3 linked regions of the Nothobranchius furzeri genome follow. The protein of the gene in region 3 purifies or fractionates together with the protein of the main gene of each other region. This does not show direct contact. Links are inferred from orthologs where the notes say so. Each region holds a gene or a part of one and is shown on either strand. Other genes may lie near its edges.

Evidence for each region.
Region 1: the proteins of slc30a4 (region 3) and pds5a purify together in Homo sapiens (affinity purification with mass spectrometry; 3 studies listed by BioGRID and IntAct, counting the BioPlex papers as one, with this or other methods). This does not show direct contact. The link is inferred for Nothobranchius furzeri from reciprocal best matches to the Homo sapiens genes SLC30A4 and PDS5A.
Region 2: the proteins of slc30a4 (region 3) and c8h19orf25 purify together in Homo sapiens (affinity purification with mass spectrometry; 3 studies listed by BioGRID and IntAct, counting the BioPlex papers as one, with this or other methods). This does not show direct contact. The link is inferred for Nothobranchius furzeri from reciprocal best matches to the Homo sapiens genes SLC30A4 and C19orf25.

Annotation. Positions count from the first base shown.
Region 1 is NC_091747.1:79,463,217-79,474,060, forward strand, and holds part of pds5a (sister chromatid cohesion protein PDS5 homolog A), read right to left. Parts: intron 10,288-10,844; coding exon 10,136-10,287; intron 10,053-10,135; coding exon 9,939-10,052; intron 9,748-9,938; coding exon 9,666-9,747; intron 9,576-9,665; coding exon 9,527-9,575; intron 9,443-9,526; coding exon 9,303-9,442; intron 8,801-9,302; coding exon 8,685-8,800; intron 8,309-8,684; coding exon 8,203-8,308; intron 8,127-8,202; coding exon 7,966-8,126; intron 7,796-7,965; coding exon 7,672-7,795; intron 7,561-7,671; coding exon 7,402-7,560; intron 7,166-7,401; coding exon 7,097-7,165; intron 6,995-7,096; coding exon 6,858-6,994; intron 6,769-6,857; coding exon 6,645-6,768; intron 6,426-6,644; coding exon 6,221-6,425; intron 6,145-6,220; coding exon 6,030-6,144; intron 5,897-6,029; coding exon 5,764-5,896; intron 5,607-5,763; coding exon 5,487-5,606; intron 5,283-5,486; coding exon 5,220-5,282; intron 4,350-5,219; coding exon 4,216-4,349; intron 4,129-4,215; coding exon of another isoform or gene 3,879-4,128; and 6 more. UniProt on the Homo sapiens protein: Probable regulator of sister chromatid cohesion in mitosis which may stabilize cohesin complex association with chromatin. May couple sister chromatid cohesion during mitosis to DNA replication.
Region 2 is NC_091748.1:78,705,795-78,716,502, reverse strand, and holds c8h19orf25 (UPF0449 protein C19orf25 homolog), read right to left. Parts: upstream 6,206-10,708; 5' UTR 6,018-6,205; intron 5,633-6,017; 5' UTR 5,615-5,632; coding exon 5,473-5,614; intron 5,197-5,472; coding exon 5,015-5,196; 3' UTR 4,635-5,014; downstream 1-4,634. Other genes in the region: interferon-induced protein with tetratricopeptide repeats 1, read right to left, coding at 7,330-8,638, 8,853-8,857.
Region 3 is NC_091749.1:43,228,084-43,238,927, forward strand, and holds part of slc30a4 (probable proton-coupled zinc antiporter SLC30A4), read right to left. Parts: coding exon 10,657-10,844; intron 9,406-10,656; coding exon 9,259-9,405; intron 7,305-9,258; coding exon 7,151-7,304; intron 7,051-7,150; coding exon 6,855-7,050; intron 5,576-6,854; coding exon 5,470-5,575; intron 5,393-5,469; coding exon 5,258-5,392; intron 4,414-5,257; coding exon 4,322-4,413; coding exon of another isoform or gene 4,259-4,321; exon of another isoform or gene 4,128-4,258; intron 2,451-4,127; coding exon of another isoform or gene 2,424-2,450; exon of another isoform or gene 2,217-2,423; intron 1-2,216. UniProt on the Homo sapiens protein: Probable proton-coupled zinc ion antiporter mediating zinc import from cytoplasm potentially into the endocytic compartment. Controls zinc deposition in milk.

The sequences.
Region 1 (10,844 bases), on a different chromosome or scaffold from region 3:
ATCAGCCAAAGGAACAGAGCAGCGGTCTGTGGTCACCACCTGCAGAACATCTCCTTTATTGGGAGTGTCTTGTTAATTGCCTATTCCATTTCCACATCAGCATGTGAAACTTGATTTCACACAAGTGTGATCGACTTCGAGTTGCATTGTGTTGTTCCCATTATTAATTTGTTTTTTTTGAGTGGTGTATTTTGGATTAGTTAGCTTATATTATTAGACAAAGATAACTAATGAAAATTAAATGCAGTTTCTAAAAAGAAGTTTTAATTCATAAAAAAAAAAACGCATGTGAAAAAGCCCTTTCTGGAAGGTTTCTGTTCGGTTCCAACCAACAGCATGTCAAAAAACATTACACCAACAGTCAAACACGGTGGTGGTAGTGTGATGGTCTGGGCTGCTCCAGGACCTGGACCACTTGCTGTAACTGATGGGAGCAGGAATTCTGCTTTCTAGCAGAAAATGAGAATGTCTGACTTTTGACCTTAAACAAGTGCTGAAAAGGTGCTCTAATGTGGCTGAAATAAACCATTTCTGTAAAAAGGAATGGGGGAAGATTCCTCCACAGTGATATGAGAGATTTATTCATCATTCACACTGGACCGGGCTGGTTCAGGTAGACTTTAATAATATCAGAAAACCTCACTTTGCATTTACTCGGGTTATGATTGTTTGGTGATCTGAAATATTTAAGAGTGAAAAACAGCAAAAATGGAAGAAATCCATAAGGAAAAAATACTTTTTAATCGAGCACTTTGCTGCAAGGCTGACCGGAGTCCAGACTGACCTCAAGGTGCAGGAAAATATAAAAAACAATCTTCAGATTGATAAAAAAAAAATTTGTTCAAGATCAACACTACTCCTAAAGGCTGTTAATTCTGTCCTTTCTCCACCAAAAACATAAAAAATATTGGTCAAAGTTAAATTAGTTCAGAGTTAAAGAAAAAACTTAAAGCAAAAATCAGTTTTTCTTAAAGGGCACCATCTAGAGGCAGAAAATATATATTGCACCTTAAGTCCCTGCTTAGGACTGGAAGCACTGCCTCTCCATGAATATACACCTCTAGCCACGCAACGAGCTGAAACACACCTTTTTACAATTATATCAGGAACTAGAAGTGTGCCAGATCACAGCTGATCTGAACACAACAGAATTTGGAGTCTTATTTCCTGATATTTGAACATCTCAGATCTAACAACGCGACTCTACCACTGACTTGCAACGTTGGTGTTTTATGTCCACAAATAACTGAAGCCTGGAGCAGTTCTGCTGTGTGGTGAACTTGCTGATGCTTAGCTTCTACTAGCGGAGACGTTCTCTGCTGTTGCCTCGACACTAAACCAACAACCCCGTTGTTAAAGAGGACATATGGAAAAAATACTTTTTGGAGCTTTTTACCATCTGATATTATTTCCACACGAAAAAATAAATCATCAAACCTGTTTCTGACTGCATTCATGCATTTTACTGTTTTAGCTGCAAATTTTGACTTTTACTCTGAAAATATTGTAAAGCGTTAATGGAAATAATAGAGTTCATAACCAAAAGGCTATGAAAGTTTGACTTAAGCCTACGCAATACAGACCTATTTTAATAAAAGAAAATGCTGACACAAAAGAGCCACATAGTGCAAACATCTGTAATAAAAATATAAATATCTCTGTTGTAATGAACTTTCACAACCTGCTACATAATAATTATTTAGTCCTGTCAGCGGAGCCGTAGGTGTGTGTGTGTGTGTGTGTGTGTGTGCACAGCAGCACGATGCAATGTGACGCTTAGAAAGATGAACTACTATTACTTATCTGTGTGAGAAACTGGAGGTGTGGTGTGAGAGCACATGAAGACAAACGTCAAATGTGTGTCTCACACCTATCGTGAGAGAATTTGCAGCCCTGATAAAATATAAATCCACTTCAGATACGACTCGCTATGTCTCGAATTTATTTAGCTCACAAAAAAGTGTTTTAATGAGTGAGATCCGCAGAGAATGATTAGTCAGACGACATACACCGCACATGTGAACTTGTTTACCTCTCCTGATGGTTTGCTAACCAGCGGGGAATATCGATGACAAAGTAGCTAGTTATCAGAAATGTTACCACGTTATTTGCTGGGTGCTTTTAGGATAAAAAGTCAAAAAGGGGGATATGAAAAGCGACACATTTGGTAACACTGTGGGAGATGCGCTTGATTTGCAACTCAGAGCAGCACATGAGGGAGGAACAAATAATCAGCTCGTTTTGTTATTGTTCAAAACCCAGATGGTAATTGTGATTAAAATCTGGCCCTAGTAGAGGCTGCAGAAAACAAAAGACCCTCTTACTTCCTGTCTATGTCAAGCTTAGATTTCAGTTAGATATTAAAACTGCCCTTAAAAGTTTTGTTCCACTGAGCTGAAGTTGGAAAATCCTCCAATCCCTTCTCTTTTTCAGGCACGCCTGTTTGCTTATAAAGAATCATCTGCTGAGAAACAACAATTCAAGCTGCTGAGATCCGGCATTTTGCACTTTTACCTCTGCAGATCAATCTGTCTCTTTGTCCCTTCATCGTTCTGCTGCAGCTGCTGTTTTGACATCTTGATGTTGAGGGGGTCTGCAGACGCATCAGTTGCTCTCTTCCTTCCTCGGCCACCTCCAGCCCCCGCTGACGGCACCGTGCCCTCTTTTTCTGCTCCTGCAGAAGCAGCAGCCACAGCTTTAGGAGGCCGGCCACGCCGTTTGACAGGTGACCCATCGGTCCCAGTGTCGGGGGTTGATTTCTGATCGGATGCATCCTGAATGACAACGACAAATGTCGAGTTAGGAGAACGAGGAGTGAAGTTAGGAAATATTTTGCACCCATCTGCGTTTATCTTTTTCACCTCTTCGTTTTTGATGACCGGGTTCTCGTTGTTCTCCTGCGCTCGACTCTCTGATGATTCTGTAGTAGTGCTGTTGTAAAACAAAGTAAATGAAACAAATAGTTTTATGACTGAGCTATCAACAGCTTGATTCAACAGTTTGATTGAATGTTGTAATTTTAGTCGTGGACACCAGAGCCAGGCGTGAAAAATTGAGGGCTTGCCCGGGATTGTTATTTTGGTCAAAATAATACAAACAGTAGAAAAACTGCTTTTGTATAAGTCATCACATCAGGTAGATGATCATTTTTTATCATTTTTAGAAATATTAATATCTTAATTTTTTTGTTTTCATGAAGCGCCTCATGATCGTTATGTTGAGAGGCGCTATATAAAAGATCTCTGTTCATAACGGTATCATAATTTAAGAGTCTTATAATATTTAGGGTGCACTGGTAAAAAGCCAATTTTAAGCATCCCAGCTTTCTTTTTGCATAATAATTGGGTTTGATTGATCAATTGGAAAGACAGAAAAAGAATTAATAGTGTTGTAGTCAAAATCATAATACTGGAGACCAAGAGATTATTGAAATCAGAGAGAACAGAGACAAATATGAGGGTCTCTCTCTCTCTCTCTCTCTCTCTCTCTCTCTCTCTCTCTCTCTCTCTCTCTCTCTCTCTCTCTCTCTCTCTCTCTCTCTCTCTCTCTCTCTCTCTCTCTCTCTCTCTCTCTCTCTCTCTCTCTCTCTCTCTCTCTCTCTCTCTCTCTCTCTCTCTCTCTCTCTCTCTCTCTCTCTCTCTCTCTCTCTCTCTCTCTCTCTCTCTCTCTCTCTCTCTCTCTCTCTCTCTCTCTCTCTCTCTCTCTCTCTCTCTCTCTCTCTCTCTCTCTCTCTCTCTCTCTCTCTCTCTCTCTCTCTCTCTCTCTCTCTCTCTCTCTCTCTCTCTCTCTCTCTCTCTCTCTCTCTCTCTCTCTCTCTCTCGTAACTGTCCATGTGAAACTGACAATGAGTGGTGCCACAGTTGAGCGAAGTGGTAAGTTTAACAAAGCTTCGAGTCTGTCCTCCATAAGATGGGTGGTGTGGTTCTCCCTATGTCAGTAGTGTCGGTCTGATAATTTACAGTGCTGTGGTGGTAAGTGGTTGGTTGAAGACATGGATATGCACTCAGTGTTGTAGGTGCGAAGTCTGACAATCCACTGGTTTTGAGCTTAAAGAGCAAATCACCCCCTACCAGAATCCAACTCCACTCACACTTCCTGTTTGAAAATTGCACCAACAGGAGGGATTGCCTGGTGGACCAAGAGGACAGCACTGGGCAGTTCTGGTTAGGCAAAGGTGGTGGGTGTGTGTGTGTGTGCGTGTGTGTGTGTGCTTACCTATTCTTGATGATAGGAGAGGCGTTGGTGCTTGTATTACTGGATGTGTCAGAAGCTGTGGGGGTCTTGAAGATCCTCCGCCCTGGTACTGTCAGAGGTTTGTTGACAGCGGCCAACACTGGAGCTGGTTTTGGCTGCAGGATAAAAAACATTAAAACCAAACTTTTAAAATGCATCATTGGTTTTTGTTTCAAATATAATTCTGTCAAAGTTTACCGGTTCCAATTTAAAACAAGCACCCCACAGTAAATATTCACCTAACAAAACAGTGCTGTTGCAAATGTTTTCCATCTCACAACCTATCAATCTGAAGTCCTTTTTAGAAGACACCATGCCGGCAAATCCGCATAACACTGCCGCCACGGCGTGTCATGCATGTGACGTGGCGGCATGGCGTAGCGGGAGTTTTGTGGCATTCATGCCGCCATGCTTGGTAATCATATTACCGCAATGCCAGACTTGTGAACGCATATTACGCCTTGGTGCAACAGAGGGAGGAGTGGGGAGTTGCAGCCGTGCTCCGGCCTGCAACTATTTAAAAAATAAAGTAAACACGGCAACAAGTTTCCTTTTTGTAATCAGAACCAGCTGAGATGATAAACTAGAGTGACACACACACACACACACACACACACACACACACACACACACACACACACACACACACACACACACACACACACACACACACACACACACACACACACACACAGAGAGAGATGATGAGCTACAATGTAGCCACAACTGCCTTGGGACGCAATGACAGAAGCAAGACTGCCAAACATAGGCGTCACCGGTCCCTCTAACCACCACCTACAGGCAAGGAGGGTTAAGTGCCTTGCCCAGGGACACAACAGCAGCATTCTCTGACAGGAGCCTGATTACTTGACAACCCGCTCAACCTCCTGAACTACTGCTGCCGAGCTATTCCAAATTAAACTTCCCATAAGTTGAAAACTAGAGTAACTCGTGTCAAGATTTACACTCCAGTGTTGATCGTTTACCTTTCCAGTGAGCAGCATCTGTCTCATCTCTGCCGTGAGGTACTCCTTATCGTTTTTGAAATCCTGACAAGGAAAATTACAAAATCATTATTTTCTCTCTCTCCATCTATTTACACACACGTACAAGCACGCACACGCACACACTAGGATTTGAAATGTTATGACAACATGCATTTAGTGTTAGAAATGGCTTAAGGTCCCAAAACATTATGAGCACACTATATAATGTACATCTCTGTGTGTGTGTGTGTGTGTGTGTGGTATGACCTTGTCCTGTACAAGGAAGAACTTTGAGGGTAAGACTGGCTCTTTCTGGCAGTCCAGGTGACACGCGGTGCTCTTGTTAGCGATGACGAATAGTGCAACGTCACAGACGATGTACAGTTTCTGTAAGGTCACAAGATTCCCGGTAAGAATCATTTGAAAGTAAACAAATCAACTTCCTGCTTTCACAAAAATGGATGTGTTAAATGTCAGACTTCCACATTCTGCTTGCCCGTTACAACACCAGATTAAATCTTTTAACGTCACATGTGCCAAACACCTCATTGGCCTTCACATCCTCAGGACACTGAGCGTCCTTTGTCTGCTTGATGTTCTCGACCATCTTCCGAAGGAAAGCGTGGCTGTTGTTCTCATTCTTGGTCATCAGGACTTCTAACATGAACCACAGGCACCTGAAGAAAGCAAAGCGTAAAAGGATTCAAGCTGTAGCTAAACCACATTTGTCTGGTTTTCAGGATTCACAACAAAAAAAGCCGTGTTTGAAACACACACGTTCAGCTCGACACAAACACAACACACACTCACTCTTTAATGTCTTTCAGCTGTTCGTATTCATGCGGTTTGGTGAAGTCTGGGTCGTGGGCCAGCAGGTGGATCATGTAAGGAACCACGTATTCAGGAAGAAGGGAGATGAGTTTTTCTGGTGGGAAAATGAAAATTCCTTTTAATGAGAACAACCAGAGACATCAGCTGAATTATGAATTATGACCACAGACCCTGAGTGACGGGGTTCTGCTTGATGTACTCTCTGCGGACGGAGATATTCTTGAGGAGGCACTGTCGGGCGTGGGCCCGCCGCTCCTTCACCGGGTCCTTGGCACACAGAGCAAAAACGGCCAAGTACTCCAGGGGCAGCAGCAGCTTGACCAGAGCTACGTGCAACTTCTGTGCAAAGATCTGACGAACCTGGTAGCACTCGTCCTGTGGAGAGTTAAGATGCTCATGAGACCAACTGCTCACATGGAGCTCATGTTTTAGACATCTGGCTGTAAGAAAGTTGTTTTCACAGCACATTGTGGGACTTGTGTGAAATGATTCAGCATGCCTTAAGATGCATCCATCACTTGGTTGTTTACGTTTTAAGAACGCTAGAGTCCAATAAACTACGGAATGAAAAATATTTGTAAAAGTGACGCTGACATTGATGACGAGGCCGCAGAGCTGAAACTGTTCTGGTGTGATGATTTCATGGTAACATTGTTCCTGCGCCAGCTTCATGATGGCCGCCCCAGCAGCCAGCCTCAGACGAGACATGTCCGATTTACTGGGAGAAAGAGGACAGAAGCAGCTAAAGTCTGGAGTCTCATGGGGAATGATGGCTGCCACACGTGACTGAGAGCTCAGCTGAGCTACCTGATTTTCTTCTGCTCCGTCAGGTCTCCCTCGCTGACGAGCATCGCCGACAGCAGGCGCAGGGTGGAGTTCGCCGATTTGGATTGGTTGTTCTTCATTCCCAGTAACCAGCGCACCAAAAGCTTGATGGCATGGACCTGGAGGACAGAGGGGAAACGTGTCTTTTGTTTCTTGTGACACTTAACATCTGTTTGTTAATATTTTAAAAAGGGCCCAAACAGCAATCTGTAATCAGGTACCTTTGCTAAGACCTCAGGAGAAACTTCCTCATCAGCGGTCCATAGCTTCCCGTTCTTGTTTCCCACTGACTGAAGACACAGAGATAAACCACATCTTTGCTTTCTTTATGTAAACAAACACACATGTCATTTATTTACAGCTGTATGTATTTGCCCAGTAAAATGCAGTTTGTAACAACTTAAAAAAAGATGCTAAAGCTTAAAGCTAAACGGGCCAGACAGGTAAAAAAAAAAAAAGTGACTCCTGATGCCTTGTGTGTGTGTGTGACTCCTGATTTAGGTGAAAGGATGGCTGCTGCACACACCCTGTCATTCATGAGCAAGTCTTTCACGATGAAGTTAGCCACAATGGATTTCATCGGTGATGCAAACTGATCTGGAGCCAGCATGGCTATATGGCCCAGGGAGACGAGAGGAGTGATGAGCTGCTCCGGGACGTCGGCGTTCAGACTGTGTGACAGAGGCTGTGGAGGAAGATGAACACATCCTGACACATAAACGGTCTGGTGACACCAATAAAAACACTTAACATGAAAAGTTTGATCCCTACAGACCAACATGAAATTATTCCCTACTTCAAAAATCTGTGCCAGTTGCACTTCCTTGTTGTTGAAAATAGCATGGATACAGTGGACCGCCTGCTTGGCCTGGTGAGGTGTTCCTCGTTTGGCCTTCTGGTGCAGGATGGGAATCAGTGTCCTGAAGAACAACAGGAAATCTTTCATTTACATGTTCATTCTCACAGAGGCATCTTAATGTTCTTTTAATGGACAATCTTGTCAAACTGAGGAAACCTGTGTCAAATCCAACTAAGCGTCAATTATTTAGAACACAAACACATGAAAGGATCAACGCATCCATCTTCTTACGATCGAATCTGTTGCAGCTCTGTCTCAATCTTCTGCCCGGTATTCCTGAAAATCTGGATGGCTGCTTCTGCCACTTTGTCATCCTCCATCTTTAGACACTGCAGCAGTGACTCGTAGGTCTCAGCCGAGTGAAAGGCTGTGGGGTGTGTAAATGACAGGACCTGAAAGCAGAGGGAAACTCATTAATTATCCAACTGTAAAGGGCCATTTCAAGGTTTTCTCTGGTTTCGATCAAACCTTGAGTAGCTCCAGTCCGGAGCGGATGGCTGTATCAGGGGTGACGCCTTCCTCGTCATCATCCGCTGTTCCCTCGATGGATTTGTTTAGCAGCTTCACCAGAGCACTGAACCAAAAACACAACATCCCTAATCCACACGTGTGTCTGGACTCATTTATTAGTGTGGTTTCCCAAAAAGATGAAAGGGTTAAAGAGGAGCGGAGACTGGAGTTGCAGTTGCACATGACCACCGCTAGGTGGCTCAGTGAATGATGATAGCTCAGTGTTATGCAACCACACACACACACACATTAAGCACTCAGGTTCAGAAACCTGAAGACACAGTTTCTCTTTTCTGTGATTGAAAACTAAAACTAGAATTTAAAAACACATTTAAATAAAAAATGTTCACCTCAATAAAATTAAAAAACTTAAAATCACCGCAACATAAAACAAGCCAGTTCTAGTATTGTTGTCTTAATCTTTGAGGATTTTCTCCGACCTGATTGCCTCGGAGTCGATGTGAACCGGTGCGATCCGCTCCAGCAGGAACTTTACCATCTCCAGGAAAGGGTTGGTGGGCTGTTTGGGGAATGTCAGCTTACGAGTAATCTCCCTCTGCACAAGTAGAAATAGGAAACAGTAAATATACAGCGGGTACAGAAAGTATTCAATGGCAGAAGATCCCCAAATCCAGGTGTAAGAAACTTGATGCATCTTTACCAGGAAGACTCACGGCTGTACTAGGTCAAAGGGTGCTTCTACTAAATCCTGAGTAAAGGGTCTGAATACTTAAGACCATGTGATATTTCAGGTTTATTTTTTTTTTATAAATCTGCAGAAATGTCTAATATTCTGTGTTTTTCTGTCAATATGGGGTGTTGTGTGCACATAAATGAGGAAAATAATTTATTTAACAGATTTAAGCAAATGGCTGCAATATAACAAAGAGTGAAAACTTGATTGGGGTCTGAATTCTTTTCGTACCCCCTGTAAGCATTCATACTAATTATTGCATGATAAAAAAAAACTTGACCTATGAAACTCAGAATCTGAATTAGGTTTCTGCTTTGTGCACGTTGAATTGGATGTAATCCACAGCTAGAGAGCCTCGTCTCACCACACAGATCTCGGCCTGTTTGCAGGAGCAGGTTGGACTGATCAGCATCTCCAGCTGGACTCTGAGCTTCTCATCCTCACTGAGAACCTGATTGAACTTCTTCATGAAGTCCTGGGCCTTCCCAGCATCTGGTAGGTTCTCTGCAAACATCAATAAAGGTAAAATAAACCTGCTTAACAGCCAAGATGAATAACTATATGTGCATGTTTATGTTTCTAACTCACTAGCAATGCTCATGAGCTTCCCAAACATGGCTGTGTTATTGGCCTCGGACTGCCAGGAAGAAGACAGAAAAAACTTGTTACAGATTAATTTTAGATTCTTGTCTCATAATTGTTGGACAACAGGTGAGCTTGAACGCACCGCTGGCAGCTTGTGATGATCAAGCAGCTCTTTGACGAGTCCTCTCAGCATGTTCTGACACTTCCACATCTCATTCAGAGCCCTGGAAGCAAAGATCACAAAGACAAACATCCTCCTGTTATGGACTTGTTGATGGTTTAATGCTTTTGATTTAATATTGTGTGTGGAATATGGCTGACCTTTTATCCAACGTAACACTTCTGAATTAACGCACAAGTCAACATTTATGTGTAAAACATTAAAACCATTGTGCAGACTTTGCTAGTTACTAACTTGACAGCATTGGTGTCGAGGCAGGCATACAGGTAGTACAGACACTTCATCTTCTCCTCTGTGTCCAGACTGTGGGGAACCATGTACTGAGCAAAAATCTTCTCTACTAGTAATCTGTGGGAAGAACAAATCAAATTTACTAATCATGAAATTTAAAACGTACAACTGCCTCCTCGGTTCGGTGGGAGGCCACTCACTTGTCATCGATGCTGTTCTGATAGTAGATGTGCAGCAGCTTGTCTTTGATCCAGCTGATCTTCAGGGCCGACTCCTTTCCAGCCTCATGGTGCAGACAGTACTTCTTGTAAAGCTGAGCCAGGCCCATCATGGCCTCCTTACGCACACGCCACTGCAGGGGAAGGCGAGGAAACCAGATTAAAGAGGGGAGAATGAAATTAGGATCAAGTTTGTGGTCAGAGATTCACTTCAAACCTCTGTGATGGTGTTTGCATATTAAAGGCTGAATATGGAACAATTTAAAGCTTTATTTTTCAAAATAATACCTCCACGGGGCATTTAGAGGTGTGCAGAATGAAGGTAGAGTATTTCCTTTAAAAGCTATATTTTCATTAAAAAATAATCAAATATTTATTTAGACGGGTACAACACTGGGTTTACGTTTACATCTACCAGCCACCGGTGTGGGTTGTCAAACATGCACTCGGCACGGCAAGGCTGTGGAAAATGACGGACTCGGCAAGTCAAGCAGCTGCTTTTGAGCCAAGAAGACGTAGTTATGCTCATCAGAAGAGGAGTGGCCATAAAAGATCTAGAACCAGAGTGAGTTTAGGTGAGGCCAACAACAGATGGACACAAATGAAACAGCAAACCTGGTATCCCAGTAGCTAGAAACCTTGTTCTATTGTTGCAACTACAACCTCCACACACTAGATGTCGCTTTGGTGT
Region 2 (10,708 bases), on a different chromosome or scaffold from region 3:
TTGCTTCAGGAAGTATAGGTCTAAAGTAAGCTGGGGTTTTCCCCATTATTGAGCTGTCACATTCACAAAAATTAGCATACCACCCCTCTTACTTGTGGATGCTAGAGGGGCAGCGGCTCTACTTGGAGCCCCTCCTGGATATCCAAGCTCCTCCCCCGATAGCAGCTGTTATAGACGCCGCCCAAAACTCTCCCTGCAGTTCCAGCCTTCCGGCCTCCTGGTTGGTCCAGACCCGCGCTCCTGCCGGCAACTGATGAGCGTAGCTGGACAACATTCCCGTTATTTACTTACACGGGAGACAAACGGCGGTGATCTCAACCAGTCGTTAAAGACCTCCGTGGTTGTTGGTACTTTGAAAACAGAGATTACATTAGAGCTAAGAATGTTTGTGAGCAACGCTAACTGCGCTAACTTGGAACAATCATTACATGATCTTTGGTGTTGCCCTTTTTGAATCTGTTGAACGCCCACCCGGTTTTGGGAGAGTGAACGTGGTTGAGAAGATCGCTTTTTGATCTTAATTTTTGTGTTCTAGAGTTTGTCCCTCCAGGGAATTTTGAGTTAAGTTAGTAGATAACGGGACTATTTTCGTTTAGATTAGAATTTGCATAAAAAGGATCATTCCTTATTTAATTGTAGCCCGTTTTGAGCAGGTGAAATCTCTGCATTTCAGTTCATTTAAATCCGTTAAATAACTTATCGTATTTTCCGGACTGTAAGTCGCACTTTTATTCATAATCTGGCTGGTCCTGCGACTTATATACCAAATTATGTATACCGCGCTGCTGTGGGCCGGCTCTGGACCAGGAATGAGCTCCCCTTCCCCGCCATCACCTGCTGGAGACCGTTGCGCGCTGCTGCGGGCCGGTGTCGGTGCAGGATCGGCTCGGGGTCCTTCGACTGCCGATGATGTCAAAGTAGTTGATTGGCTGAACATGAAGCTTACGGAAGAGACGTTATCACGTTATGATTTTGATTGGTCAGAACAAATTTGCGGTTGTAGTCTTAGTGGTTGTAGTCCTGTAGTCCAAAAATCAACACGTTTTGGAGAAAATATGTTTGAATTTCTAAAGGAAATGTAAAATATAAGCAAATGATAAACGGTGACCCTCAAAAGCTCTTGATGTTGATGAAATGGGGCAAAATAAAATATAAGAACTTTATTGAAAGACACCAAGATAACAACTAAGGAAATATACAGAAGAACTCCACATTAATACTAACAGATGTGGCTTCACATATAAGAACTGTTCTATTGTTTGTCAGTCCGATGTTGGTTTTATGCAGTTTCACATTCTTTACAAAACAAAGATAATATGGTGTTTTATTAACAAATTACAATTATAAAGAAAACATTCAGGTGTTGACAAACAAGAATTTATTAACAAAACTGCTGATGTCTTATGTGTCGTATGTGTGAAAGCCGAGATTTGCAGTAATGTGACGTTATCGGCAGTCGAAGGACCCCGAGCCGATCCTGTACCGACACCGGCTCCGGTCCAGGTTTCAGCTCCTCTGCCCCGCTGGGAGGGTTTGAAACACCGCCATCCTCTGCTGGAGACCGTGGCGCGCTGCTGCGCCCGCGTTGTTTATTCTTTTATTGTTACTGGTACTTGTCTTGCAGTGTGAAATGCTTGGTCTCAGATTTTGTAAGAAAAATAATAAAATTCCCCCCCAAAATGCGACTTATATATGTTTTTCTCTTCTTCGTTTTACATTTTATGGCTGGTGCGACTTATACTCCAAAAAATACGGTACTCTTTTTGTAAGAATATAGGCGTTCTCGTTTCGTGTTTGTTCGTTTTGTGCCTCATTTTTCCTCCTGTTAAGTTTTATGTGACCCCCTCCTCTCCACACATGATTCCCCCCCCCCCCCCCCCCCAGTGCCGGGGTTGTAACAGCAGCCTATCAGGGGATGGGTGGGCGTGGTCAACAACAGCAGGCTCATTCTGGAGTGTACTGAAACTTTAGAGCTCAAATCCCTTCGAGAGACAGATTTTTTTGCTAAATCCTTCATAAGTACGTTAGTTTGTTGTTTTTAACCAATCAGACTTTTTAACCCTTTATTAAAACCAGCAAAAACCAGATTAAAAACAATTATTTTATTTACAACTGTGGCCTGGTAAAAGGGAATGGTTTGTAAAATAAAATAAAACAAATGTTAAAATGTTAGAGGCCTCTTGAAACTAAAAATATATAATAGGACCCACATAAATCATAGAATAGATCTAAAGTTTCAACACTGGCAATAACCTTTTATTAACCAGGACGTCCCTGGAGATTAGCGCCTCTGGCCATGATGACACATCAGGATAAAACAAGTCAAAGAGGAGGGCGTTTATGGAGTAAAGAGGGCGTCTGCATTAGAAATCCAGGACTAAAACCAGTATTTTGTTTTAGGTCACATCGTTTCAGCACCAACATTTGGCTGAGATCGTCTCCTTTTCTGAAAGCTTAATCTTCTTAATTCTGTCCCCATTTCTGCGCCATGAGGCTTGTGGTGGTACGGACCTGGATCCGGCACTTAGCTCTTCAACTCTGCACAACATGTTCGTTTCTGCTTAACCGTGTTGCTGTAAAAGTAGCAATAGTTGGAGAGGATTATGAGTATTCTCTGTAGTCGTACCCGTCCCTCCTTCACGTGTGCCTGTAGGTGTGGATGGGAGAGTGTTTAGCCTGCGTTACGGGGCTGTTTACTCAGAGACCACCCTGTACCGAACCAAACCCTGGCAGCTTTTTAAAGGCCAACATCCTTCTGAAATCTGTCTTTTCAGTACCAAACCAACCGAAAGAAGTGAGAACATGAACAGCAGCATCATTCCAAGAAGAGAAAGAAATCCGGGAACCGTTAAAATCCCAACGTTCCAGTAGAAAAAGCCTGCTGCTCGTAATTCGTTTTCATTGTCGCAAACTACATAAGTGTAAAAGAAAAATAGGTATTTGGGTGGTTTTTACGGTAATTATCAACATCTGTGACCATGATGTCAAATGACAATTATTCATTTATAGATTATGAATAAATTTACTGCCCTTGCTGACGTGTCAGACAGATTAGGACTGGCAGTAGTCTGTAGTCCTCTGTTTAACCTTGAAAAGACAGATTTAGGATGTGGGAATGACTTCACGGCCCTAACAGTGGCGTGTCCAGATCTTTTAAAATGGGGTGGCCCAGGTGAGGCACAACTTTGTGCATGGGTGGCACCAATGGTTATGCTTTTTTTGTTTTACCCCCAAGCCGTTTGTGGACAATGAAAAGCCTATTTAAAGGTAAATTAGTGTGGTGGCACCTGGGGTGGCCAATCAGATTCCAAGGGTGGCATGTGCTACCCCAGGCCACTCCCTGGACACGCCCCTGGCCCCTAAAAACTAAATATGAAGTTAAAGGAGATGAGAGTTGTGGTTGGTGTTGCCGCTGACTTTGTTCACGTCTGGATCCGACCCGTTTGGAGCAGAATGGTACAAAACATCTCATCCTGCATGTGAACAAGATGGCAGGCGGGGTCACGGGGTCGCGACAAACATGCAAACAGCAGAAGTGTGTCATTATAAATGTTTCATTCCAATAAAAGTGATGTGATTCCTTAAAACGGTCTGGTGGACTTCCTTCAGGCGTTCGTGTTTAATGAGAAACATCAAACAGAAGTTTGTGTTTTCATGTTCAGTTTGATGACGTTTATTTCTACTTTTATACGGCACAGATGCACAAATGGGAGGTGGTCATGAAAACAGAAAAGACCGTTTTCCAGCAAACTGAGCTACTTCAAATAATTTAGTCTGGAAAGTAAATAAATATTAATACACCCATTTAAAGTCAAACATCAGTTTTTTTAGTCGTTTTATGGGGTCAGCGAACGCACCACAGCTGAGCTCAACTGCTTTTCTATTTTATGTGTCAGCAGGTCGGCGCTGAACAAGGGTTAGGGATCTGAACCAGGTGTGTGTGTGTGTGTGTGTGAGTGAGAGACAAGGTACACATGCAGATTCTCATCGGTTTTATGAAGTTGTAAGAGTTCACATTCACCTGGTTTCCTCTGTTATTTAACCATGAACAGTGTTATGACCACCAGCCTGGCCTCTTCAGGTGCAGGAGCCAGGATCACCCCGCCCCTCCTCCTCCTCTCCTCCAGGCTGCTGAGGAGCCCAGCTGAGCTGAATCCTCCTGATGACCCACACCCGGGGTAAAAGGCTGCAGGGTTCTGCTGTCCTCCAGGCCTCGTTTTGGTTTCAACACCTTCGTTTTGATGAGTTTTAACTTTAATAGTTTTAACTCTGAGTGATCCAAATGAATCTTTGTTTGATGTTGACTCTGTTTTAAGGTTAACATCGTAGTTTGCCGACTTTGGGATTTTAAAACACTCGGGTGTTTTCTTAGTGCGTCGATTTTTAATATCAACGTGTGTTTTTTAAAACACCTTCTGTTTGGGTAACCCGGTGTTTTAATGTTGGTAAGTGGTCCTTTAAATGTTAACCTTTTAGTCTTGATTTTGTTTGTTTGGGCATTATTTTAAAAATGCTTTCCATCTGTTTGCTCTTGTTTTTACAACCTTTTATAACAATCAAATCATTTTAAAAATATTTCATGTATTTAGAAAACTTTAAATATTTCTGTGTACGGAGAAGAAACGACAAAAATAAAATGCTTACGATCATTTTAATATTTACTTTTCCCCGGTCAGCTTTGCTTTTCCAGATGAACTTACTTTTATTACAAACATTAAAGTTGTGCATTTGTTCATTTCTGTCCGTTTCTCCTGATTTACTCTCCTTTCTTCTCAGATTTACTTTTCATGTGACTCATCGTTGCGTTTCCTTCACTGTGAGCCAAACGGCTGTTATCCTTTCAAAAGAAGACTTTCTGCAGCTTTTACTGCGAGGCAGATACGAGGTCGGCAGAGCCCGGCCCATTTGAGAGTTCAAAACTCATCCAGCACTGTGGCGCCACTGCTGTCTGGCTCAAAGGCACTTGGACCAGTCAGAGTTCAGAGAAAGTGTCCCAAGCAGAAATGGTGTAGAGTCAGAGAAGTTGACCTTTGATCTCTTCCACTTTTCTGTCCAGCTGCTCTCCCACAGCCAGTAGCTCTTCCCACTGCCGCTGGAGCTGGCCTTGAGCCTCCCGCAGCCGCTCATTCAGCTCCAGGTACCGGCGACACTGCAGGAACCGGTGCTCCACCTCACTGTCTGCAAGGAGGGACCATTCTGCAGAGAGCAGATGAGACCAAAGCTCAACAACCAGAATCCAGAATGATGGAGCAAGGCCATGAAACACAAGCATCCCTGATTTTATAAAGAATATCATTCTTGGCCATCTTAAAAACTGTTTTGCTCGTTTTTCTTAAACATGATGTAACCAAGATGCTGAACATCAAAACAGAAATGGGCTTTTATTGTGAAGTGTTAAACAGAACAAGACAAGTTTTGATTTAAACTAAGAAGATAACCGTGTTTGTTATAAGGTCATCTATGTGGACTCGCCTTTCCCAGTTTTCTCCAGGACGTTGAAGACCGGATCATCAGGAGCAGCCTTGCTGATGTCCTCCAGGATCTGGTCCACATTAGGAAGTTCTGGGCGGCTGAGCAGAACCACACGTTTCTTATTCTTAGAGCCAATGTTCATCTTAGACGACAAATCCACCTAAAACACAGTTCACGCTGATGATTGAGGAAAAGGTCACGTGTCTTACATTTAAATACACGAAATACGATTTTTTTTATTTTACCAATTCGGCATAAACAAAAACCATCAACACCCAAATTTAACTGTTAGCGGTGATACACCAGAATTAGCTTAAAATGCAACAATATTCGTAGGAAAATAACGGATTTATTAGTCTAGCGGGAACATTTCAAGCCGAACATTTCAGAACAACCCAACAATTGTTATGAGGTAAAAATGACGTTAGTGACGGAAGTAACATTAGCTGGCAGCCGATTTTTGTTTAATTTAGACGTTTTTTGTATGAAACTCGGGCTGCTGCTCGCGCAGCTCGCGCGGCGCGGAAGCGTTCTCTAAAGTTTACCAGAGTTGATTCTTCACGGAGGAAACCTTCTGATGTGTCTGCTCTCAGCCCGTCGGCAACGACTTAAACCGGACTGCTCATGGGAAACAAACGTTTCTGTAGTTTATGAACGACGAGCAGCCAAAACGACCCGGACGTTCTTTTAACATCCAAACCGGAAGTTCATTAACAGCCTACGTCAAAACGTCACAAGCCACGTCGGCAGAGCGTGTTTTTATGTTTTTGTACCGTGATTTGTTTTATATTAAAAAAAATAAAGTAATAAAAAAGTCATGTGATTTTGCTACATGTAGTACTTGTATATTATGTAATACACGTTAATGTTTATTTGTTCAGAGACTGTATTGTTAAAGGTGTTGAACACCGAAAAACATGTTTTAATTATTATTTCTGATAATCAGGCACTCTGAGTGTTTCATGCAGGCTGAACATGAAAATAGTCTCCTACATCTATCTCCTTTATTAGCTTCTGATAGAAAACTGACGGGGAATCTCTAGGAAAGCCTGGCAGATCTACGTGACACTGTCACTAACATTCATGGGCTCACCCATCTTGGCTAACGACGGGGAAGGCTGCTGTTGGTTTAGAGTCCAGGAAACAGCAGAGAACGTCTCAGCTAGTAGAAGCTGCCCCCGCGACCCAACTCCGGATAAGCGGATGAAAATGGACAGATGGATTTTACATGATTTCTGGTGATAAATTAGTTTAAAAACTATGCCGAGAGGAACCAGCTGAGGTGGCTCAGGCACAAAAAATGTGAGGAGCCGTTTGGGAACCGAAAGAGTCGATTAATTTTAGTTTCGTTTAGCCGTAAAAATTGGTTCAAACAACGTTGGAACCGGTTCATTTCATTGTGTTTATTTCTTAATTCTGATTTTTGCTAATAATTTATTGGGCGTTGTACCGGTCTGTCGTCAGGACAGCACACTGTAGACCAGAGCAATCGATCACAAAGTTCATGATCAGTCAGAAGAAAGTAAAAACCAGAATAAAAAAGACCGGGGGGGGGGGGGGGGGGGGGGGGGCAAAAGGTTAAAATCAGTTAATTGAGATTTTTTAAATCTCTAAATGTTGAGTGGATTCTTTCTCATTTTACTCCAGTAACTGACAGAAGCAACATTTCAAATATTTTATTTTTAATCAGAATATTTTACTTTTGTGAACTAAATAAATAAATAAATGAGTTCCAATAAGTAGCAGAAAAAATTAAAATGTATTAAAGATAATTTTATTAACACAAAACCTTAATTTAGACTTTATTCGTCTGTTTCCTTCGTGTTTATCATCCCGGTAAACACGCATGAATCCGGGTCAGTCTGTCAGATCCAGCAGGAACTCGTGGACCTCTCTGCTCGTGGGCGGCAGGTTCTCTTCTCTGATCTTCTCCAGCCTTCTGATGCTGTCCTCCCTGTAGAAGGACTGATGTGGGACAGCTGCTGCTGTCATGTAATATTTTACCGACCTGTGCTTCTCCTTTTGACTGAACTCTAAATATTTTGCATAATAACTGCAAACCATCTGCTCTCCTTCAGCGTCCAGGTCAGTTCTCAGCAGTTCCTGAAACATTTCCTCAGCTTCTGCTCGCTGATTTAATTTTGCGTGAATGTTTGCCAGAGATGTTTGCATCTGGAGAGAGGAATGAGGGTAGAGAGCGATGACCTCTCTGTGGAGACTGATGGCTCTGTGCATCCGGCTGGGCTCCAGGTGACTGTTGCTCTGCGAGAAGACTTTCCTCTTGTAGCAGATTGCAGCACATCTCTTTATGTAGCGTGCACCTGGATGCCTTTCCAGAGCCTCCTCTGCTAAATCGATGGCTTCATCCATGGAGACGTGGATCCTGTAGAGCCGCAGTAATGGCTTGATGCCGCTGTAGCTGCTCACCGGCTTTGCTAAAACTCTCCTGGCCAACTTGTGTGCCTCATCCTGAACTTTTGCTCCTTTCTGAGCTCGAGCTTCCAGGTAAAGAGCAGCGAGGTACAAGTTATCTGGGTCGTGCTCTTTGGCAATCTTCATTTTCTCTAAGATGTCCACATCCGTGTGTGCTCTTTGGTGCATGAAGGCATTTACTAAAGCCAGCACTCGGCTGGTTTGCCACTCCACCATGTCTGGCTGCATTCTGATGGCCCTCTGGAAGTAATCTGCAGCCAGCAGCTTCTCGCTGCTGCTAAACTTCATCAGAGTCCAGGCCTTTTCAGCACAGATCTCTGGATGGGGTTCATCCAGGCACGGAGACGGATATTCACTCATCAGGGCCTCCAGCTTTGACAGATATCCCTGACTCTGGGCTTGCTCCCCCAGGTGGTGGTGCAGCCAAGCCAGATTTCCGTAATTCACCACCAGCCACGGGCCCTCATCTGAGACGGTGTTCCTGAGCTGTCGGAAAGCCTCTGCGGCCCTGCAGAAAAACCGCAGCGCCTCTTTGACGAAGCCCAGCTGACAGTGAACGAAGCCCTGCAGGTTGTAGATGTGACCCAGCCAGCAGTATCCCTCCTCCGAGCCGATGTCCTCCAGCTCGTCCCGCAGGCGGAGCAGTCGGGACCTGCTAGGAGCCAGATCCCAGGTGAAGTGGCACTCCAGGACCTCCAGTTTGGACCAAAGTCCTGTCTGACTCTGAGCAGAGCTGAAAGACATCAAAAAGGACGAAAGTGAACTCTCAGACAACAGGTTGAGTTTAGATGTTCAGCAAAGGAGGAAAACAAATAAGGACAAAAGGCTAAAGAGTAAAAGAAATGATTGGGACGAGCCCTCTGAGGGAGATGAGACAGTAAAGTAATAACTAAGGATTTCTCCATAAATAAAGTCAATCCGGTATTAATGCAGACATCTGCACTCACCTCATGGTGCAGCTCAGACTCTGCTCTTCTAAACATCCCGGCTCCCGTCCAGCTCCTTTTCTTCAGGTGCAGCATCATAAAACGGGTAAAGTTCAGCTGGAGCGGCTGTAAACCACGTCAGCGGGAGCAGTTTGGACTCCGAGGACGGAAATAAAACCAGCTTCATCCGTGAGCTGGTTTCATTTCTGTCCTCCAGCTGTTATCAGCAGAACAAAAAGTGACTTCACACATTTATCCGGGGCTAAAGAGGACGCTACTGGGCTGTTCTTCTCAAAAGGTTAAAGTTCAACTGAAGCAGTTGTCAAAGTGGGAGTCTGTCCATCTGTTCACGGCTGCAGACGGAACAGATTCATGATGGACACCTGGACCCTCTCCAGCTTCTCCTGGTGGGCCACGTCAGAGAAGACTCCCTCTGGGTCTCCTCCACAGACGTGTAATAATCCTGGACAAAGCCTCCCACTTCCCTCCTCATGAGGCCAAAAGGGCGGTTCCCACGTACGCCATCTTGGCTGTGTCACACGTGTCGTTGCCATGCCCAGACAATCCAACAATCCAGGAAGTAAATGGCCGTGTTCGAGATGAGCCAGTTCTGCGCAGATTAGAATACCAGTGATCGGCGTGCGGTGCATGCCGGTTGGATCCGACTTAAAGCTGCATTCCGGAGTTTTCCCCTTTCAAAAATGATGTATGATTGTTCAGAATCTGTTAAAGTGATTATCCCATCATGTGCTGTGATCAAATGTAAGCAATATGTCTTTTTTTTTTTTTTTTGCTAAACACGCCCCCTGCCCCACAGAGCTCCATTCAATAGGGAACTGAGCGCCGACCAGAGCTAACCAACTGTGTTAGACTACCGCTTACGTGCTTCAAATTTAAGGAATACCTCGGCTGATGCAGAGTTGATGAACGTTTCACGGACAAGTAAGTCTCTAAAATATAAATATATGAAAACACAACATGACATGAGAATAATACTCGTAAAACAGCGTGTTTTAGCTCCGTTTGTCAGCTGCAGAAGCACATTTATAACCAGAAACGTGAAGTCGCCATCTTAAACAAACAGAGGAACAGACTTTTTGTGTGATATGCTTGTCAGCCACTAGATGGTGCCATCAGATAAGAGAAATACTCCGGAAAGAAGCTTCAACGCCGACTTTTGATCCAAACATCCTGTGGTGGAACGTTAAATGATAGTTGGTCACATGTATTCTGTAAATCATGTTACGTTGATGATGACAACTATACAGGCCATACAGAGAAATGTGATTACGTTCTTTTGTCACGTTTCCTATGAGCACACTAAAACTACAGCTGCTAACCTTTACTTATTGTTACAGTCATGTCTCCATAAGCACATGTCTACAACACATGATCTCCACACGCATGTGAGGATGTGTTTCAGTTGCTAACAGGCACCAGAGGGTTACGCAATTATGAACGCTAATGCGATTTCTTCAGCCATCGTCACCCGCAAGCTACATGTAGAGAAACCTGTCCCACTTAAACGCAGGCTTTTAGCCACTCCCACCGCTGCGTCCGTCTGCTCTCACCTGTTTTCCAGGCGAGGCGCCGCTCATCTCAAACAAGGCCATTCTCACATGCTTGTGAAGGCACCCGAATGTGCGAATGGGGATATGACTGTAACACATTATAAGTAAAAGTTACCAGCTGTAGTTCTAGTGTGCTCCAAAAAAAAAAAAAAAAATATATATATATATATATATATATATAAATAAAACCATTTAAGGTTTAAAAAAACCTACATGGCCCCTTGATGTTTTGTGTTGTTTCTGCACAACTGGCATTTAAGGGCACACTCTGCAGTTTTTCTTGCTTTTAGCACCCCCTAGTGTCCA
Region 3 (10,844 bases):
TCACCTTAACCATATCCTCTTATTTAACCTTCCCCTCACCCCTATCCTAACCTTAACCATCTTGCTAGCGAACACGTTAGTGATGTGTCGATCGCTCTAAAAGCCGGCTCTATGAAGTGAACGGCGGGAGCCGCCTCGTCAGTGGTTGAGTTTGGACCGAGCCAATGCGAGGGGGAGGTTTCAACTACCACGGTGGAGGTTAAAAGTAGAGGGTATTTGTAAACCCCCCCCCCCCCCCCCCCCTCCTCGCCAGATGGTATGTTCTAACGTTCCCCTTGGGCGGCAAATACGAAAATTCACAGTCAGAGTCAGAATTCATGGGAAACAAACGAGGGCCCTTCTACACACATATCTCCTGCATTAGCTTCTGACGGTGAAACTGTAGGATATGAAAAGCCTGACAGATGCAACTCAGGACGTAAAGCTTGGTTTATGCTTGACGCATTCACTTTCCGCTTGGTGATGCGGCTCGCGGATGGAACGCGCTTCACAACTCGCAGCGTTTATGGTTCATGCGGCTTGTCTCTGCGGTGAGCCAATATTCTCCCAAACTGAACGGGGCAGCACGGAGCTCTACGGCATGCATCCAACACTACACCATAGTAGAAGTAGAAATTACTGTTGTTTACAACATAGCATTCCAGCATTTTTAACAGCGTCCTCGTCTTTTCCGACAGTGCGAGCTATTTCTTTCCAAGAATTATTAACAACATGTTGATCACGGTGATCTTTGAGAGCTGAATCATAAAAATGTCTGTATTTATGAACCTCTGCCATAGTTCTTGCCAGTCCGCCATGTTTTTCCGCGTCCGACCGTCCGCATGGTTAGAAATTTCCTAGGTGCGCGATGCAGAAATCTTGGGCCGTGTGGAGGCACGTGGTGTTAAAATGATGCAATTTCGCCACACGGAGCCGTGCGAACCTCGCGGACGCGTCAAGCATAAAACAAGCTTAAGGCAAAGCCCAGAAAGACTAGAAAATAACTTTTGTAGCCAGATCACTAACATTCTTTTTTTTTTTTTGATCGGAGACCCATGAGCCAACCAGAAGGGGAGGAGACTTAGGTTAAATACGGGGGGACAAATACGCGTTTGTCCAATATTGGACCCCCCCCCCCCCCGTTCCTACGCCCTTGCTTCTATTCTTTACAGAATCAATGTTGGAAACATATTTTTATATCTTTTTAGCATCTTTCATACAGGATTGTCCTCCCATGAGTGACCTACATAGATAGCAATTAATTAGACAGCATGTGAAAAAATAACAGCTGGACTGACACATAAGATATCAAAACACATGTCACACATTTTTAAAATGTCACACAAAAAGAGAAAACCATATACTACAATAGCTGCGATCCTTAACGCCCTTCAGAGTTGATCATTGTCAGCTGAGCACACACGGACAAACTGGACGAATGTCACCATAACACTAATTACCAAACTGGAAATACTTTGAAACAAAAATGTATTTATTGTTATTTAATAAAGTTATAGAATAAATGTGCAGGTCATACTAACATTAGGACATTTTGTCTTATTAGATTAAATTATGCATGAACTTTCAGAGCATAAATCAGTCTTTATTAAAGTCAGGTTCAGAACTTTCCCAAATGTTTTGTCAGAAAAGAATGGATTGTTTCAGTGAAGGGAAAAAAATCTCTATCTTAAGAGATAAAAAGGTGTTATCAGCATGTAAATAAGGTATAAACATTTTAAATGGCTTCATTTTGTGTATAAATAGGAATTAAACTTTTAGTAACTCTATTTATCAAATTCAGATGAAGTCACTTGTGCATAAAAATTAATAAAATATTTTTTCTTGATGTTATAAGTTTTTTATACAGGATACTGTTTTTTATCATTGATTTTTCATCAAATTAATAAAAAATGCAGGTGTTAATAAGTACTGGTGGGAATAAAACAGAAAAACAAACATGCATGTGCAATTTAATCTCTGGAATAAAACACGTTTTAGAAATAAAGCAGCAATAATAAATACATGTTTTCTTGTAGTCTATAGAGTGTAAATATGTTTCAAGAAGATCAAGTTTAAACAATAAAACCATTAGATCTTGATTCTCTGTCTTGTTTTCAGGTATGAAGAAATAAATGTCATCCAAACCAAGAATTTAAAACAGGAGTAATCTGCTTAGATTACAGCTGGATGAGCATCCAGTGCTCCCATTGTGTTTCAGAGAGACAATCCTCTTAAGCCTCATCTCAGAGGAGAGTAATGGTCAGAACAGGTCCATCCCATCATTTTCTGGTGGCTGTATCCTGTCTCCACGGGCTGCTGCTTATCAATGACCCTGAATAGATTTCTCCTGATTTATTGAACAAGCAAAAGGAACAAAGAGAAGACGAGGCATGGCTTTAGTTTCCTGCTCTGAGTGAGTGGCTCTGTGATGCTGAAACACATTTCTAGTTGGTTTCACTGAGGTCACAAGACTGCAAAAAAAAAAAAAAGATAAATCATCTCAGATGAAAAATGTCCTTCCTCTTTCGTCAGCTGACAACTTGTAATAATGTACTTGTGTGTCATAAATCTAGTTGAACATAAATGTTTATGACATGCAGAGACTCGTCTGGAGACTTGTTCTGCAGCGGGATGACAGCTGATGGTGTGGGGGCTTCACCAATCCAGCTACAGTACAGCTGACATTATTGGTAGAAACAAAGAGAGGAAGGATGTGTGTGTGTGTGTGTGTACGTGCATCACTCTAAACCCGACACCACAGACCATGTGACCAACAAGCCAAACAGGTACAGTTGAAAAAGTAAAGACACACAGGTACCCTCTACATGTTACATTACTGATTATTCTGTAGGTGAGTCATTTTAGACATATTAATAAAATCTACTATAATCCAGACATTTGGGAATGAAAATACTAAATTCCTTGTTTCATACTATTGGAAGGCAGGGCAGACAAGTGGGTTTGGTAAATATTTGTTTGGCCAGAAAAAGTAAACAGATGTTTGCGGTTTAATTATCATTGCCTGGTAACAGACACTCCCCCTTTGACACATGGTCAATTATTAACCCCTGACGTATGAACACATGAACACTGTTTCTATGAATGTCTTATTTAAAGGCTCATAATTTAAATGGTAAGCTGTTTTAGATCTCTGGCACTTTTGAACATTAACGTAAATAAACAAGTTTAAAGCACCAACTCATTCTCTTTTAGAGAAGATAAACCTTCTTGTTGAAAAAAGTGTTTTATATCTTGCAAAACCATCATCTGATGTATTGTACAAATTAAACTGCATTTTAAGTAGTGCACCCCCTAGTGTTGAAATGTGATGTTACACATTAAAGGTCCATCTATAAAATGTTTTATTTTCATCCATATTTGAGCCAAATACTACTGAGTAATAAAAATAGATCAGGGGTCAACAAGCTACATTATGAGCTGACCTTGTCTTGAGAAAAAGAAAGGCAGAGACAGTGTTTTGACCTTTTATTACAAACAACAATATTGCCCCATCATTCATGTCTGAGATGTGAAGACGTTTAACTCAGAAACCCCCACAGCCTCATAAAACAGGAGAAACCCCTATGAGATACCACCCCTGGTTTATTTCAGCTCACTCTTCCTCCTCTGAAATACTTGGAAGTTTTTCTGTTATCCATCACCACTTTGATCAGCTTCCTGTCAACAATGCTGTTAAATATGGATGAGACCAGGCACCATGTGTTACTTTATGAATATCCAACACTGTTTAAATAAAAAAACAACAACAGCAGCCTGAACCCAGGCTTTGGTGATTAAAAATATGGAGGAAGAGTGTTTAATGAGGTGTGATGTTCAAGGTCCAGATAATTTATAAGCACTTTGCAGGCATGAAACATTTAGTCGTGTGTTTTGTAAGAATAACATTTCCAGGTCCAACACCTGGAACAAAGATCTACATCTGACGACCCAACAGCAGTTGTGATAACTTAAACTGCTAAATAAGAAAAATGTTGTCAGCTGTGATAGGCTTTAAAGGTGAATTAAGGACAATCTTCTTCAGAACGAGTCAAATTGCATTCAATGAGCTTTTCAAGCAAAAGAGCACAAAGTCCCTGGAGGCTGCAGATCCTCTCTAATTAGATATGTCCTTCGAAACCACTCTTTTTCCATTTACGTCTGCACACTTTGCTATACGGCACAGAGCTGCAGCAGCAGTGGGACATCCAGGCCCCTCTGTGTTTGTGTACTCTCTGCCTCCACAGAATGAGTGGTGAAGTCAGTGTGACCACGAGAGTCTTTATGCGCTGGGCTGCTGGCACTGTGAACAGGTGCGTACCGCCCTGTCCCGGTGTGTCTGTACCTGCACGGTGCACCTGGTGAGACCATAGGTGTGAAGCAGCAGGTGGCGGGCCTTGGCCTGGACCTCCTCCCAGTTGTTAGCACTAGGGGGTGCTGTTAACACCAAAACATGCATTCATTATAAATCAGACCTTTGTTTTATTGAATCCTAACTCCACACTGTCCTGAGATGTAAAATACCCAAACACTAAGAAGCTGGATTTTCTAGCGTATCTGTTCAAATGATGTGCGGCACAAGCCAGGAAGCTTTTTCAGTCGCTCCGCTGCATTACCATGTAAAGTAAAAATATTAGAGCCAAAAGGTCAGGGGGAAAAACCAAGCATTCCTAACTAAATATAGGTTTTTAACTTCCATTTTGTTCTTACAGACTGAGGTCTCTGGGACAATGTTACGATGCAGCCCTGCATTCTTATTTTACTCATGCTTCAGTGCCCCGTGTGAATATTTTTATGTTCCTCTTCTTTTGTTTGATTTCAACATAATATTTATATGAAAAAGTTGTCCTGATTTTTAAAGTTATGGAAAATTTGTGTTGATAACAAAAAGTTCATTTATTATGACACATTAAGCCTGTTCAGACAGGACTAAATGATATGTGTTTGGATTGGATTGGATATGTGTGCAAACAAAAGTTGTATAAATTACCATATTTAGGAATTAAGGCAAATCCAATGTGTTTGAAGTCTGGATTTTCCAGAAAAGAGCCATTTTTACATAAACAATAGCTGAATCCTCTTGTGCATTAGTTGCTCCACCAGTGAGGACACAGCTCCCCCTTGTGTGGAGTCTGCAGATTAATGTAAACCATTTCTACAGGGATGGTTTATTGTGATGCAGCCAAACGCTTCAGTGGTACAAAACTTGCATTTGACTGAGATCTGTACATTGTTTCACCCAAACCTAGTGTCTTCATCGAGTATCCAGTCAGTCACTCACCGAGCTGCAGATGTACCAGTGCAGCAGTCTTATCGGCCGTCAGCGCCCAGACGTTCAACTCGTCCACCGATTGGACATCCTCCAGCTTCAGGAGGTCTTCTTTGATTCGCTGAATGTCCATGTGTCTGGGGACACCTGACAGCGCAGGACAACAGCACACATAAGAAAACAGCCAACACCAAACAGAAAACCATAAAACATCCGGAACGAACCTTCCAACACAATGATTAATGTGTCTCGTATGATTCGGAACGTGGTGAAGAGAACCAGCACCGAGAAGATGTAGGTGCAGATTGGGTCTGCCAGCTTCAGCTCGGGCTGTGAATTCAGAGTGTTATTGGAGTTAAAACCTTTTTTATTTCAACGGAACATCTTAATAGTTGTTTTTATCATAAACCGGCTTTACTCTTTTATCATTTACACGAGACCTGAACATGTTCAAACACATCGTAAACAGTTTCAGTAAAGAGTGGTGTGGTGATCGGTTACTAATGAAGCTGTGACAAAGAGCGATGGGTGTGACAGACTGAGGCAACATGATGTCACTACATGAATGATGCATCACACACACCCATATTACAGAAGTGTGTGTTCACTCCTAGTTTATTTTTATCATTAGTTAAACTCTGTGTTAACCCTCCCACTGTCTTTATGGGTGACCCCGCGAGGAAAGTGTACCATTGAGCTGGGTTGATGGTTTATTCCTTCAGGTCCACATGGCAGGGGTGAGGAGTGAGCACCACCTCACCCCTGCCACGTGGACCTCAAGGGATAAACCATCAACCCAGCTCAATGGTACACTTTCCTCGCGGGGTCACCCATAAAGACAGTGGGAGGGTTAATTAAATGTTTAAAAATAAATTCAAGATATTTTCATTGAGTGATAAAATGACACAAAGTGCTCCAAACTAAGGTTTTAGGGAGTTCTTTAGTAAATAAAGCAAATAAATCTCCTGCCTCGATTACTGCAATGCCCTTCTAACTGCTCTTCCAGCCAGTACTGTGAGACCTCTTCAAATGGTCCAGAACGCAGCGGCGCATCTGGTCTTCAATCAGCCAAAAAGAGCACACGTCACCCCTCTGTTCATTGAGCTCCACTGGCTACCGCTAGCAGCACGCATCAAATTCAAATTGCTAACACTAGCATACAAAGTCCGAGATGGTACGGCTCCCATCTACCTGAATCCTCTTGCAAAGGCTTACGTCTCGGCCGCGCCGGTCATCATGGGATCGTCGGCTAGCAGTGCCTACACCACGCTCAGGACAATCCAGACTCTTCTCATGCATCGTTCCACAAATGTGGAATGACCTTCCAAGCTCTACCAGAACAGGGGCTTCCTTTTCAATTTTCAAGAAACTCCTGAAGACCCTGCTCTTCAGAGAGCATCTTCTTAACTAGCACCCTCCCTGCACCCCCCCCCCCCCTCTACTGTCCACTCCTTGTTCCCTACTCTCCATGACTGATGTCAATGTTGTTGTTGTTATTGTTGTTATTGTTGTTGTTGTTAGCCTCAAGGGCAACATGCCGATTATCACTTGTAAGTCGCTTTAGACAAAAGCGTCTGCTAAATACATAAACATAAATAATTGGGTGTACCTTGAAGCGAACTATATAAGCAGCTATGAGAACGCCGATGCTCTGGACAAGATCTCCCAAGGCGTGGATGAAGGCTGCTCTTACGGCCAGGCTGCCATGTGGTTTCTGCTGAACCGACCCGGTTGAATGTGGAACCGCAGAATGACCGTGGCCGTGTGAGTGGGAATGACCGCCTTGGTTTAATAAAAACCCCATTCTAAACACACAAAAAGAGCAAAGAATTCAGTCCAATTAGCTCGGTCAGTCAGAGTTTATCTTATTAAAATCTTTGCTTTAGGGTGAAAGGCGTCTCTCACATGAGATTAACAGCAACACCCACGGCTGCAGTGATGAGCATGATGTCTCCATCTATGTCGAAGTCCTGGTGCACGGTCCTCTGAACCGCTTCATAGAGCAACGCAGCCGTCAGGATGTAGATGAGCGCCACGCTGAGGACTGCCGATACCACTTCTAAAAACAAAAGTCACATTCAGCTGTCAGAAAAGGTTTAGAGTGGTTCTAAACAACAACAACAACCAGCCCCATATATTCAAAGTCCAACCTAAAGAAACAGTTCAGCCATTTTGAAGTAAGCGTCAAGTTTTCTCATAGCTAAGATGTGTGAGGAGAACAGGAGGTATAGGTTGTGTCCAAGACACTGATGCAGCAGAACAAAAACGAAAAAACAAAGTTGAGAAAGGCAAGAGAAGACATCTGTGTTGAAGTGGTGGAGCATTTCCTGGGGCAGACATTAGTCTGGTAGGGAACAGTAACAGCCCTGAGCTGTTTCACTAGATGGCTTACGGCTCAGAGAAGCCCCAATGTGAAGCTTGTTTATTGATGCAACCAGCGGTGGTCTCTGAGCAGTAGTGTAACAGAGCGAACTCTGGGGGTGAAAACATGAGGAAAATAAAGGTGTGTGAAGTCAGAATGACATCCTGTGGTCAAAGCTGATAAGGAGATAAATGCATTTCACTGTATTATTGAGAGACTTGTAGAGCCAACTATTTGCTTCCATCTTGTTAGCTCATTGTTAGCCTCTAGGCTTCTTCACCCGATATCAGAGTAAAACAACAAGATGCCGTGGTTCTTAGGGGAACAAGAAATAACTTCTGGGCCGCTCCTTTTACTGGGTAACATTATTTCCACAACTGCTGCTTTTTGCAGGCCAATGTCGAACTACAATTGCCGGCACAGCAGGGTTTACCATCAAAAGACTTTGCAACCTCGCAGGCTTACGTATGATTGGCTCTGAAAACAGGAAGTATGGAGGCGGGACAGATTGTAAACAGCGACTATGTCTCCTTGTGGCCTTGTTTTTAAAAGACCAAAAGTCAAAATTGGGGTCAAAATTGTTAACCATTACAGAAAGATTAAAATGCAAAAAGCTACAATAAACTGACTTGATTCTGATTTTTGCAGCATAATCAAAATGAAGTGTTTTACAGACACTCACATGAGGGAGATCCAATCATATGCAGGTACAAGGTGCTGCATCGGCTTTTATATGCATATAAAGTTCATGATGTGGACAAAAACCTAAACAGCTGAGTCAGCACTCACTTTGACAAAGACCCAGGTTAGAAATCTTGGTGTCATAATTTGGTGTCTGGATTCCTGCTGTTTGGCCTGATCAGTTACCTGGCTTACCGGAAAATTTACGAGCTTTCGAGGAATATTGGCTCAATCTTGGAGCTCAGGGATGGGATGCATCATGCAGTGAACGCACAAACTCATAATTGTCGAGATGAGTCGTAAGCTTGGAACTTTGGCTGAGATTCAGGCTCTGGCACAAAAGGTGGATTCCATTAAGGAGCGAGTGTTGAATGAATGTTGTAATGCTGCACCAAAACTTCTTGCAAAATACTTCTTTTTAATTTTTAAATTGTATTTTCTGTCGCGTTGATTTTAATGTTCTTGCTAATGGAAAGCACACTGAATTGCCTCTGTGTATGAAACGCGCTGTATAAATAATGCTGCCTTGCCTTGTTATGTTGTTGGAAACATAAAACGACTTGTTTGGTTATTTTCACACAGTCAGGGTTAAGTTTTCAGAAACTTGGTGAAAAGTCATTTTTATTTTATATAAGTATTAAGTCTCATGACTTAGTTAAAACAGATAAGTGCCTCCTTCAACTAACAACTTACTCCAGCTGTTCCTAAATCATGTTGAATCTTTGGTTCTGACGGGGTTATTAATATGCATACTGTGAATGGTTATGTTGAGCTTCTGAAGGAAACACCAGGTCTCCGTGTCTCTGGAACAAGATTCTGATCACACCTGAGACCTGCTGTAACACTCTCTCTTAAGGTGTTTGAAATGCAAACTTTGGTTTTTGCTGCACAGACATAAACGAAACAAACAAACAAAATAGACACAGATAGAAAACGGATATGGGGGGGGGGAAGTGCTTCTGAAACTCACCGAGGCGATGTAGCCCAAATGTGAATCTCTTGGTAGGAGGCTTAGTGGAGAGCCAGAGGGCCAGAAGAGAGAACAAGATACCCACCACGTCTGTTAGCATGTGCACAGCATCCGTCATAATGGCTAAACTGTTTGATACATAACCACCTAAAGGAAAAGGGACAGTAATAATTAAAATGTCATGGCATATAACCAGTTTCCATTAAAGCTACTATAACAAACAGTTTTGAAAACACAATTAATGTGGCTCTGCTAGAAAATTAACATATTTATGATAATCGATGTTTCTTTGATTCTAAACATAGAACATAAACCACTGAAACGGTGACAGCATTCAAACAAAAACCTCTGGGATATTTAAATGTAATAAAAGACAATAATTACTATAAATATACCCAGTTATAATTAGAAACACTGACCCATAGAAAACAAAATCCACCTTTGTCACATGATGAAATCAAAACTAAATCACCACATAATTGTTTTCTCAAAAAGGCTAACATAAAATGACTTTTGCACAAGAGCAATGTCACTAGTGAAAAACACAGATTAATGTTCTAAAACATTGTCCAGTATAATAAAGCTAACAGGGCAGGTTTTATTATGCACACAAAATACCAAACTCAATGACTGGAGCTTGAAAATGAGAAATCCAGATAGTAATCTCAACTATATTTAATAAAACCTTAAAAAGTGATCTTTTCTCCTGTGTTTTTTTAAGAATGTCCTTTCTTACAGGTTAATGTTTTACAACACAGAGGGCAGTCTTTGTTTTAGTCCAGCTGTTACAGATTTTTTTTTTTTTTTTTTTTTGCCAATGGAAAACAAACTAAATCAATTTCCTTGTAGGTTATAACATGGAAAGAACATCAGTTTACGACAGCCTTCCTCAAACAGAGTTCTGTGAATCCTTTCACTGTTTTAATGAGTCTGTTGCCTTCGATCATAAATCACTGTTTGATCAGCTGTAGGGTGTTTGAGGAGCATGGGGCAGGTGCGCTAGCTAGTGTACCACCACCTGATCACAATTATTTCAGCTGATTCAAAAAGACAAAACAAATGAGTTAAACTAATAGAAACGTGAGCCTATGTGTTGTTTTCTATAGCAACTGGGGTCCCTTTGTGCTTCTATGGCACTAGCCGTTAATCCCAAGTCATCTAATACTTGGCCTTTTGAATTTTGATGAGCATCTACTGGGTTTGGAGATTTAAACACACACACACACACACACACACACACACACACACACACACACACACACACACACACACACACACACACACACACACACACACACACACACACACACACACACACACACACACAAACTTAGAGGTAGCCCCTTAAACACACAGATTTCACGGCCACAATAAGAGGTCCATTCTGCAGATACGTACCAATGATTTCACCCATCATGAACAGAAAATACAGTAACGCTGCGATGATCAGCCTCTTCATCACCTTCCTGTGTTTGATTCTCTCCCTCTTCTTGGTGCAGCTGTCACAGGGGTCCATGTTCAGCCCCGGGCTGCCCAGACTGGAGTTAGAGTCCAGCAGGGAGTCATCGTCATCCTCATTCCCCACC